2 linked regions of the Ovis aries genome follow. Each later gene encodes a partner of the first gene's protein in a complex. Links are inferred from orthologs where the notes say so. Each region holds a gene or a part of one and is shown in the gene's direction. Other genes may lie near its edges.

Region 1 (3,649 bases):
CAAATCGAAAGCATCATGAGATACCTTTGCTTACCCACTAGAATAGCTATAATCAATGGCAAGAATATAGAGATACTGGGACCCTTTTTGTTTCTGGTAGAAATATGTTTTTTGTTGTATTGCAAGTCTGGGTCACCTATAGTGTTCAAAGAAAGCTGAAAAGACTAAAATTTCCTTAAATCTATATAATTTATTTTAACAATTGAAAGATAAGCCGCAATATTAATATATACTATCATATAAATAGGACTTATGTGTATATTCAATAGTTTATAAGAGAGCAAGAAGCATGTATTATTCACTCATATCTGTGAAGTGAAGTCAAGTCACTCCGTCATGTCTGACTCTTTGCAACCCCATGGACTGTAGCCTACTACGCTCCTCTGTCCATGGGATTTTCCACTGTGCAAACTGCCTCCATTTTGTTGACAGGAGTTAATTTTTGTGAAGAATTAATCTAGATTATATATATTCTTTCAGCTTTTCAAAACATTGTCCATTATGTATTTACTGTTAAAAAATGGAAATGGAAATGCAAAAAAGGAGATTGTTGAAAACATAATCAGAATCTTGTGTGTGAGCACTATCAATATATTGATGTATTTTTTGCTATTTGTATGAGTCTTATTTGTGTGTGTGTGTGATTGTGTTTTTGAACAAACTATTCACTATGTATCTATTTCTGTTTACTTTTTTTAAAAAAGAAAAACTAAGTATTTCTCATGTCATTAAAATTTCTTTGAATGTGTCCTTTTTAATGACTATAATATTTCATCATTTATGTTAGCTTTAATGGGAATACATTTGTATTTGCAGTGATTGTTGAGCCCATTCCAGTTGGACAAGCTGCTAAGGACTATTTAAATTTGTATGTAACGCCAACTCTGCTTAAAGGACTCACAGAACTTTGTAAGCAAAAACCAGCAGATCCTTTTGTAAGAAATCTTTTTATTCATACTGAAGAATACTGTCTATAGCTTTCAGAATTAAAATATTCTTTGAAATATATAGAAAGTCACTTAAAGCTATTTTATATACATTTTAGATACTTCCTTTTGTATAACATTTGATTACAGTTGACCCTTGAGTAAGAGTAGGACTTAGGGGCGCTGACCCTTTGCACAGTCAAAAGTCTGGCATACTAAGAGCTCCCATGTGCAACAACTAAGACCCAGTGCAGCCAAAATAAATAAATACTTAAAAAAAAATCTGGCATATAATTTATAGTAGGAACTCGTATCCTCAGTTCCTCTGTATCTGTGATTTCTGCATCTTGTGTTCAGCCAGTTGTGAATTGTGTAGTACTGTCGTATTTACTATTGAAAAAAGGCTCCACGTAAGTGGACCCCTACAGTTCAAATCTCTGTTGCTCCAGGGTCAACTGTGCTTATTTTCTTGCTGTGTTTTGACTCTTAAAAAACATTTTAAGTACATTTTCAGTCATTGCATCCTTCAATTGCTCAGCATTGTTTTTGTGTATAATTTATATAATCAAATGATAAAATTAGATATATACTTGAATTTTGTTCATCATTTTTATTTCTCGTGATATCTAAATTTTCTGAATAGAAGATTTGCATTTATTCACATACTTGATGCCTCAACATTGCTCATTCAGGTGGAAGAACTGTTGAGTATGAGGACTTAGGATGATGATCCAGGGCCAACTGTCAGCCTGGATCCTTCCTTATAGATACACCCGCCCATCTGAAGAGTCTTAGAGATAATCAGGGAAGGTTATTTTAATATCAGCCCTACCAAAATAATATGTTTGGCCTTTGTTAGAATTCTCAAAAGGAATCCTTTTTGAAAGACAAAAGATTTAATCTTTCCCACATGTTAACATTACCACTTTTACCAAAAAGGAAAACATTGACACGTTATTTCTCTAATAATTCTCTTTCATTGTGAAAATAGTATTTATTTTAATTTAGTAAGAAACCTGAAACTACTGAAAAACGTAAAGAAGAGAAGAAAAAGATACTCATGGTTCCATTTCCTAAACATTGTCTTGAAGTCATCTTGCCTGGACTCAACTCTAATTCCAGACACCTAAATTCAAAGATGCTTGCTCCTTGGAAGAAAAGCTATGACCAACCTAGATAGCACACTGAAAAGCAGAGACATTACTTTGCCAAAAAAAGGTCTGTCTAGTCAACGCTGTGGTTTTTCCAGTGGTCATGTACGGATGCTAGTGAAGAAAGCTGAGTGCCGAATAATTTATGCTTTTGAACTGTGGTGTTGGAGAAGACTCTTGAGAGTCCCTTGGACTGCAAGGGGATCCAACCAGTCCATGCTAAAGGAGATCAGCCCTGGGTGTTCTTTGGAAGGAATGATGCTAAAGGTGAAACTCCAGTACTTTGGCCACCTCATGCGAAGAGTTGACTCATTGGAAAAGACTCTGATGCTGGGAGGGATTGGGGGCAGGAGGAGAAGGGGACGATGGAGGATGAGATGGCTGGATGGCATCACGGACTCGACGGACGTGAGTTTGAGTGAACTCCGGGAGATGAGATGGACAGGGAGGCCTGGTGTGCTGTCTAGGTTGGTCATAACTTTCCTTCCAAGGAGTAAGCGTCTTTTAATTTCATGGCTGCAGTCACCATCTGCAGCGATTTTGGAGCCCCCCAAAATAAAGTCTGACACTGTTTCCCCATCTATTTCCCATGAAGTGTTGAGACCAGATGCCATGATCTTCATTTTCTGAATGTTGAGCTTTAAGCCAACTTTTTCACTCCTCTTTCACTTTCATCAAGAGGCTTTTTAGTTCTTCCTCACTATTTGCCATAAGGGTGGTGTCATCTGCATATCTGAGGTTATTGATATTTCTTCTGGCAATCTTGATTCCAGCTTGGGCTTCTTCCAGCCCAGAGTTTCTCATGATGTACTCTGCATATAAGTTAAATAAGCAAGATGACAATATACAGCCTTGACGTACTCCTTTTCCTATTTGGAACCAGTCTGTTGTTTTATGTCCAGTTCTAACTGTTGCTTCCTGACCTGCATATAGGTTTCTCAAGAGGCAAGTCAGGTGGTCTAGTATTTCCATCTCTTTCAGAATTTTCCACAGTGTATTGTGATCCACACAGTCAAAGGCTTTGGCATAGTCAATAAAACAGAAATAGGTGTTTTTCTGGAACTCTCTTGCCTTTTTGATGATCCAGCAGACATTGGCAATTTGATCTCTGGTTCCTCTGCCTTTTCTAAAACCAGCCTGAACATCTGGAAGTTCACGGTTCTTGTATTGCTGAAGTCTGGCTTGGAGAATTTTGAGCATTACTTGACTAGTGTGTGAGATGAGTGCAATTGTGTGGTAGTTTGAGCATTCTTTGGCATTGCCTTTCCTTGGGATTGGAATGAAAACTGACCTTTTCCAGTCCTGTGGCCACTGCTGAGTTATCCAAATTTGCTGGCATGTGGAGTGCAGCACTTTCACATCTTTCATCGTCTTTCAGGATTTGAAATAGCTCAACTGGAATTAACATCGCCTCCACTAGCTTTGTTCGTAGTGATGCTTTCTAAGGCCCACTTGACTTCACATTCCAGGATGTCTGGCTCTAGATGAGTGATCCTACCATCATGATTATCTTTGTCATGAAGATCTTTTTTGTACAGTTCTTTTGTGTATTCTTGCCACTTCTTCTTAATA
Region 2 (3,669 bases), on another chromosome or scaffold:
TTCATTGGAAAAGACTCTGATGCTGGGAGGGATTGGGGGCAGGAGGAGAAGGGGACGACAGAGGATGAGATGGCTGGATGGCATCACTGACTCGATGGACGTGAGTCTGAGTGAACTCCAGGAGTTGGTGATGGACAGGGAAGCCTGGGGTGCTGCAATTCATGGGGTCGCAAAGAGTCGGACACGACTGAGCGACTGAACTGAACTGAACTGAACTGAAGCCTGGCGAAGCTGTCCAAAGAAACAGAGGTTCCTCGGTCATGCTTGGGAGAAAGCAGGCCGAGTGGGAGAGGAAGGGATCGGATACAGTGGCCAGTTAAATTTAAAATTTCAGATAAACAAGAAACGATTTTGTATTATACACTCTACTATACATGTACTAAACAGTAATTTCTTATGTCTCTGAAATTCAAATTTAACTGGGTACCCCGAATTTTACCGACCTGGATTCCGAGAGCTTCGGTAGCTTTTCTATTCCAGACCCGCCTCCCCTGCCCCTCCAAAAGGCGCGGCGCTGCTCACCAGTGAGGAGGAAGAGGAGTAGGACTCAGCCACAGAGCTGCCTCCCTGCGCTGAGCTATTCCTCTGTCGCACCACTGGCAGGGTCCAAGGGCCAAAGCTGCCTCTGCCGGCTGGAAACCAGCCCAGCACCGGAAGCTGTTCTTCCCAAAAGGCGCCTGCATTCTAGAGGCTGGCGCCTGACGCATGCGCCTACCTACCTGCAGATAGCGTCCCGTTGCTAGGCAATGAGCCCGCGCGCCCCTGGGCTGGAGACTGCCTGGGTCCGAGAGAGAAGAGTGCGTGCTGAGAGCTGAGCTGACTACGCTGGGCTGAGGTCAGAAGAGGCGCGGGCCGGGGCGTGAGCGATGGTGAGGGTTGGAGGCGGCGGCGGAGTAGATGCTGCAGAGAGGAGAAGCTGGAGGAGTGGAAGGTAGGATGCGCAGCTGAGAGGAGGCTGCGCCCAAGGTGTACAGGGTGCTGGATGGAGAGCCGGAAGCACCAGGGTACGTGAGCAGAGACAGGATGTGCAATCTAGAGGCTTTGAGGAGGGGCCAGCCAAAAAGGGGAATTGACCAAGCGAGACTGGCAAGCGCAGTGCACACGGAGAGAGCCAGGACAGAGGCTGACCGGGACGGGGCGGGGCGGGGCGGGGCAGGGGCGGGAGTGGATGTGCGCAAAGGCTACCGGTAGGTGAAGCCCGCACTGCTTAAGGCCAGAAAAGAGTGTAGCAATCTAACATCCTGGTATTTTCTCAGCCTAGCGCTTTCGCACCTGCTGGTGACTTCTGCTTGGATCCTGGCCACTGGGGGTGGGGATAGCACATCTAAGAGCTGTAAATTCAGTTTTACTTGGGGACTTAACTGAGGATTATAGCCCTGCAGACAGCCTCTCAGACAACTCTGAGAAACTGCTTCAGCATGGAAGAGGTGAGGGCAGAGGTCAGCGTATAGGAGATTTGGAGAACGGGTACCTGCAGTCAAACATATATCTAGGTAAAAGTCTACTGCTAGTTATCAAGCACACACAGTTTAATTATTTTATGGCTTTTCTAAGTATGTAAGATGCAAGAAATTGGGTTTGTAAATTTTTGTCCTGAAAGTTTCTGTCTGAAGGTCTATTCTGTCAGTTTTCCCAGAAAGTGGAGTATCTCATTCCTGATTTCCACCCTGAACTCTTTTCAGGCTGTGTTAGTGACCAGTTAACAACTGCTAATGACTCAGTCCTTGTGGAGCCAGCTGGCTGGAGACATTCTTTAGTTGGCACTACTTTCAGAGCGAGCCCGGGTGCCCCCACCTCCAGGAAGTCTTCCAACCTTTTTCATCTCCCCCACCATCTGCAGCCTTCCCTGGGCTAGTTGTTTCGCACAGTTCTTGGCTAGCATTTCCCATGTTTTGTTTCAGTTTATGTGGGGCAGTGCTGGGCACAAGATGCTTCACTAAATGTTGATTGAGATAATAAGTGCCAGCGGGAGCACTGACAGATGGAAGGCTCTTCAGCGTTTGGTCCTCAGTGTCTGCCACACTGCAGTAAGTGTGGCAAACTGGATAAACGATCTGCTCCAAACTTGGTGATCCCACCCCCTGGGAAGGGTAGTTGTACTGGGATTAAGGCAAAGGAGAGCTGTAACTGTGTATCACCTGGGGATTCTGTTAAAATGCAGACTCTCAATCTGTAAATCTGAGGTGGGACCTGAGAATCTGCATTTCAACAACTCCCAGGTGATGCAATGACCACACTTTGATGAGAAGGGGTGTAGAAAGTAGTTTACTTGGGTGCATTGGTTCAGGTGCATTAGTCACAGATTGGCAGAAGCAGCCACCAACACATCCCCATCCCCTCCCTTCACCACTACCCCAAACGTAGTGACTTTAAACACACATTTATTATCTTACAGTTTTTGAAGTTTGAGATCCAAGATGAATCTTACAGGGTTAACGTCAGAGTGTTTCAGCAAGGCTGGTTCCTCCTGGATGCCCCAGGAAAGATCCCCTTCCTCGCCTTTTCCAGCTTCTAGAGGCCACCCACCCTCCTTGGCTCATGGTCCTGAATCGCATCACCTTTTCTCCCTCTGCCGACATCACCACACCTTCTTCCGCCCTGTCTGACTTTTCTGTGTCCCTCTTATAAAGACTCTTGTGATTACATTGTGCCTACCTAGATTTATTGCTATTTTAGTTGCTAAATTGCGTCTGACTCTTTACAACCCCATGGTCTATAACCTGCCAGGTTCCTCTGTCCATGGAATTTCCCAGGCAAGAAAGAATACTGAAGTGGGTTGCCATTTCTTTCTCTAGGTGATCTTCCGGACCAAGGGATTGAAGCCACGTCTCCTGCACTGACAGGCAGATTCTTTACCACTGAGCCACCTGGAAAGCCTGCATACCTGGATAATCCAGTATAATTTCCCCAAAACAAACAAACAAAAAATGCCAAATTTAATCACATCTGCAAAGTCCCCTTTGTCATATAAGGTAACGTGGTTCATAGATTCCGGCTATTACTTTGTGAACACCTTTGGGAGCCATTATTCTGCCCTGACACACTGTGTATTTCCTAGGGACAAGGACATTTTCTTACTCATATTTCAATTACCACAACCAGGAAATTTAACCTTGATATAATTCTATTATGGAACTTACAGTTCACATTCTGTTTTCCCAACAATTTCCTTTACAGAATTCTGTCTCCTGGTCTACATCCAACTAAGGATCATAGATTGCATTTAGTTGGGATGGATGGCTGTTTAGGCTCCTTTGAGCTGGACCAGTGCCTCATCTTTTTTGTCTTTCATGATGTTGACATTTTAAGAGTATACCCCAGTTATAGACTTTCTCTCAACTTGGCTTTGTTTGATGTCAGATTCCAGTTTTGCATTTGGGGCAAGAATCTACAGAAATGTGTTGTGTTCCAGGAGGAAGTGCATCACATCAGGAGACACATAATGTTATTTTGTCCCTTTATGGGTGATATATGCTTTGATTATTTGGTTAACATTGTGCCTGTCAGGTTTTACCACTGTGAAGTTTCTGTATTTCTTTTTGGAGTTAATCCATAATTTGTGGAGAGAAACTTTGGGACTATATGAATATCCTGTTGCTGCTGCTGTTAAGTCGCTTCAGTCGTGTCCGACTCTGCGACCCCATAGATGGCAGCCCACCAGGCTCCTCC

Evidence for each region. Proteins that work in one complex are often made in the same cells at the same time.
Region 2: the proteins of NME5 (region 1) and DYDC2 are in contact, whole or in part, in a cryo-EM structure (PDB 8X2U), measured with the Mus musculus proteins. The link is inferred for Ovis aries from reciprocal best matches to the Homo sapiens genes NME5 and DYDC2. Residues at the interface, in NP_542368.2 of Mus musculus: Arg140, Ala145, Val146, Ile147, Ile151, Pro152, Ala156, Ala157, Tyr160, Ile161, Tyr164, Val165, Thr168, Leu169, Leu173, Leu176, Cys177, Lys180, Pro181, Asp183, Pro184, Tyr185, Leu186, Leu188, Ala189, Asp190, Leu192, Met193, Asn196, Pro197; in NP_001347537.1 of Mus musculus: Asp2, Tyr5, Leu6, Cys9, Phe10, Gly13, Leu14, Leu18, Val21, Ala22, Arg23, Val24, Arg25, Pro26, Asp28, Pro29, Ile30, Glu31, Leu33, Ala34, His35, Leu37, Tyr38, Tyr40, Arg41.

Annotation. Positions count from the first base shown.
Region 1 is NC_056058.1:47,221,633-47,225,281, reverse strand, and holds part of NME5 (nucleoside diphosphate kinase homolog 5), read left to right. Parts: intron 1-816; coding exon 817-935; intron 936-3,649. UniProt on the Homo sapiens protein: Functions as part of axonemal radial spoke complexes that play an important part in the motility of sperm and cilia. Does not seem to have nucleoside diphosphate kinase (NDPK) activity.
Region 2 is NC_056078.1:34,795,757-34,799,425, forward strand, and holds the start of DYDC2 (DPY30 domain-containing protein 2), read left to right. Parts: upstream 1-723; 5' UTR 724-869; exon of another isoform or gene 870-1,004; intron 1,005-2,795; 5' UTR 2,796-2,972; intron 2,973-3,669.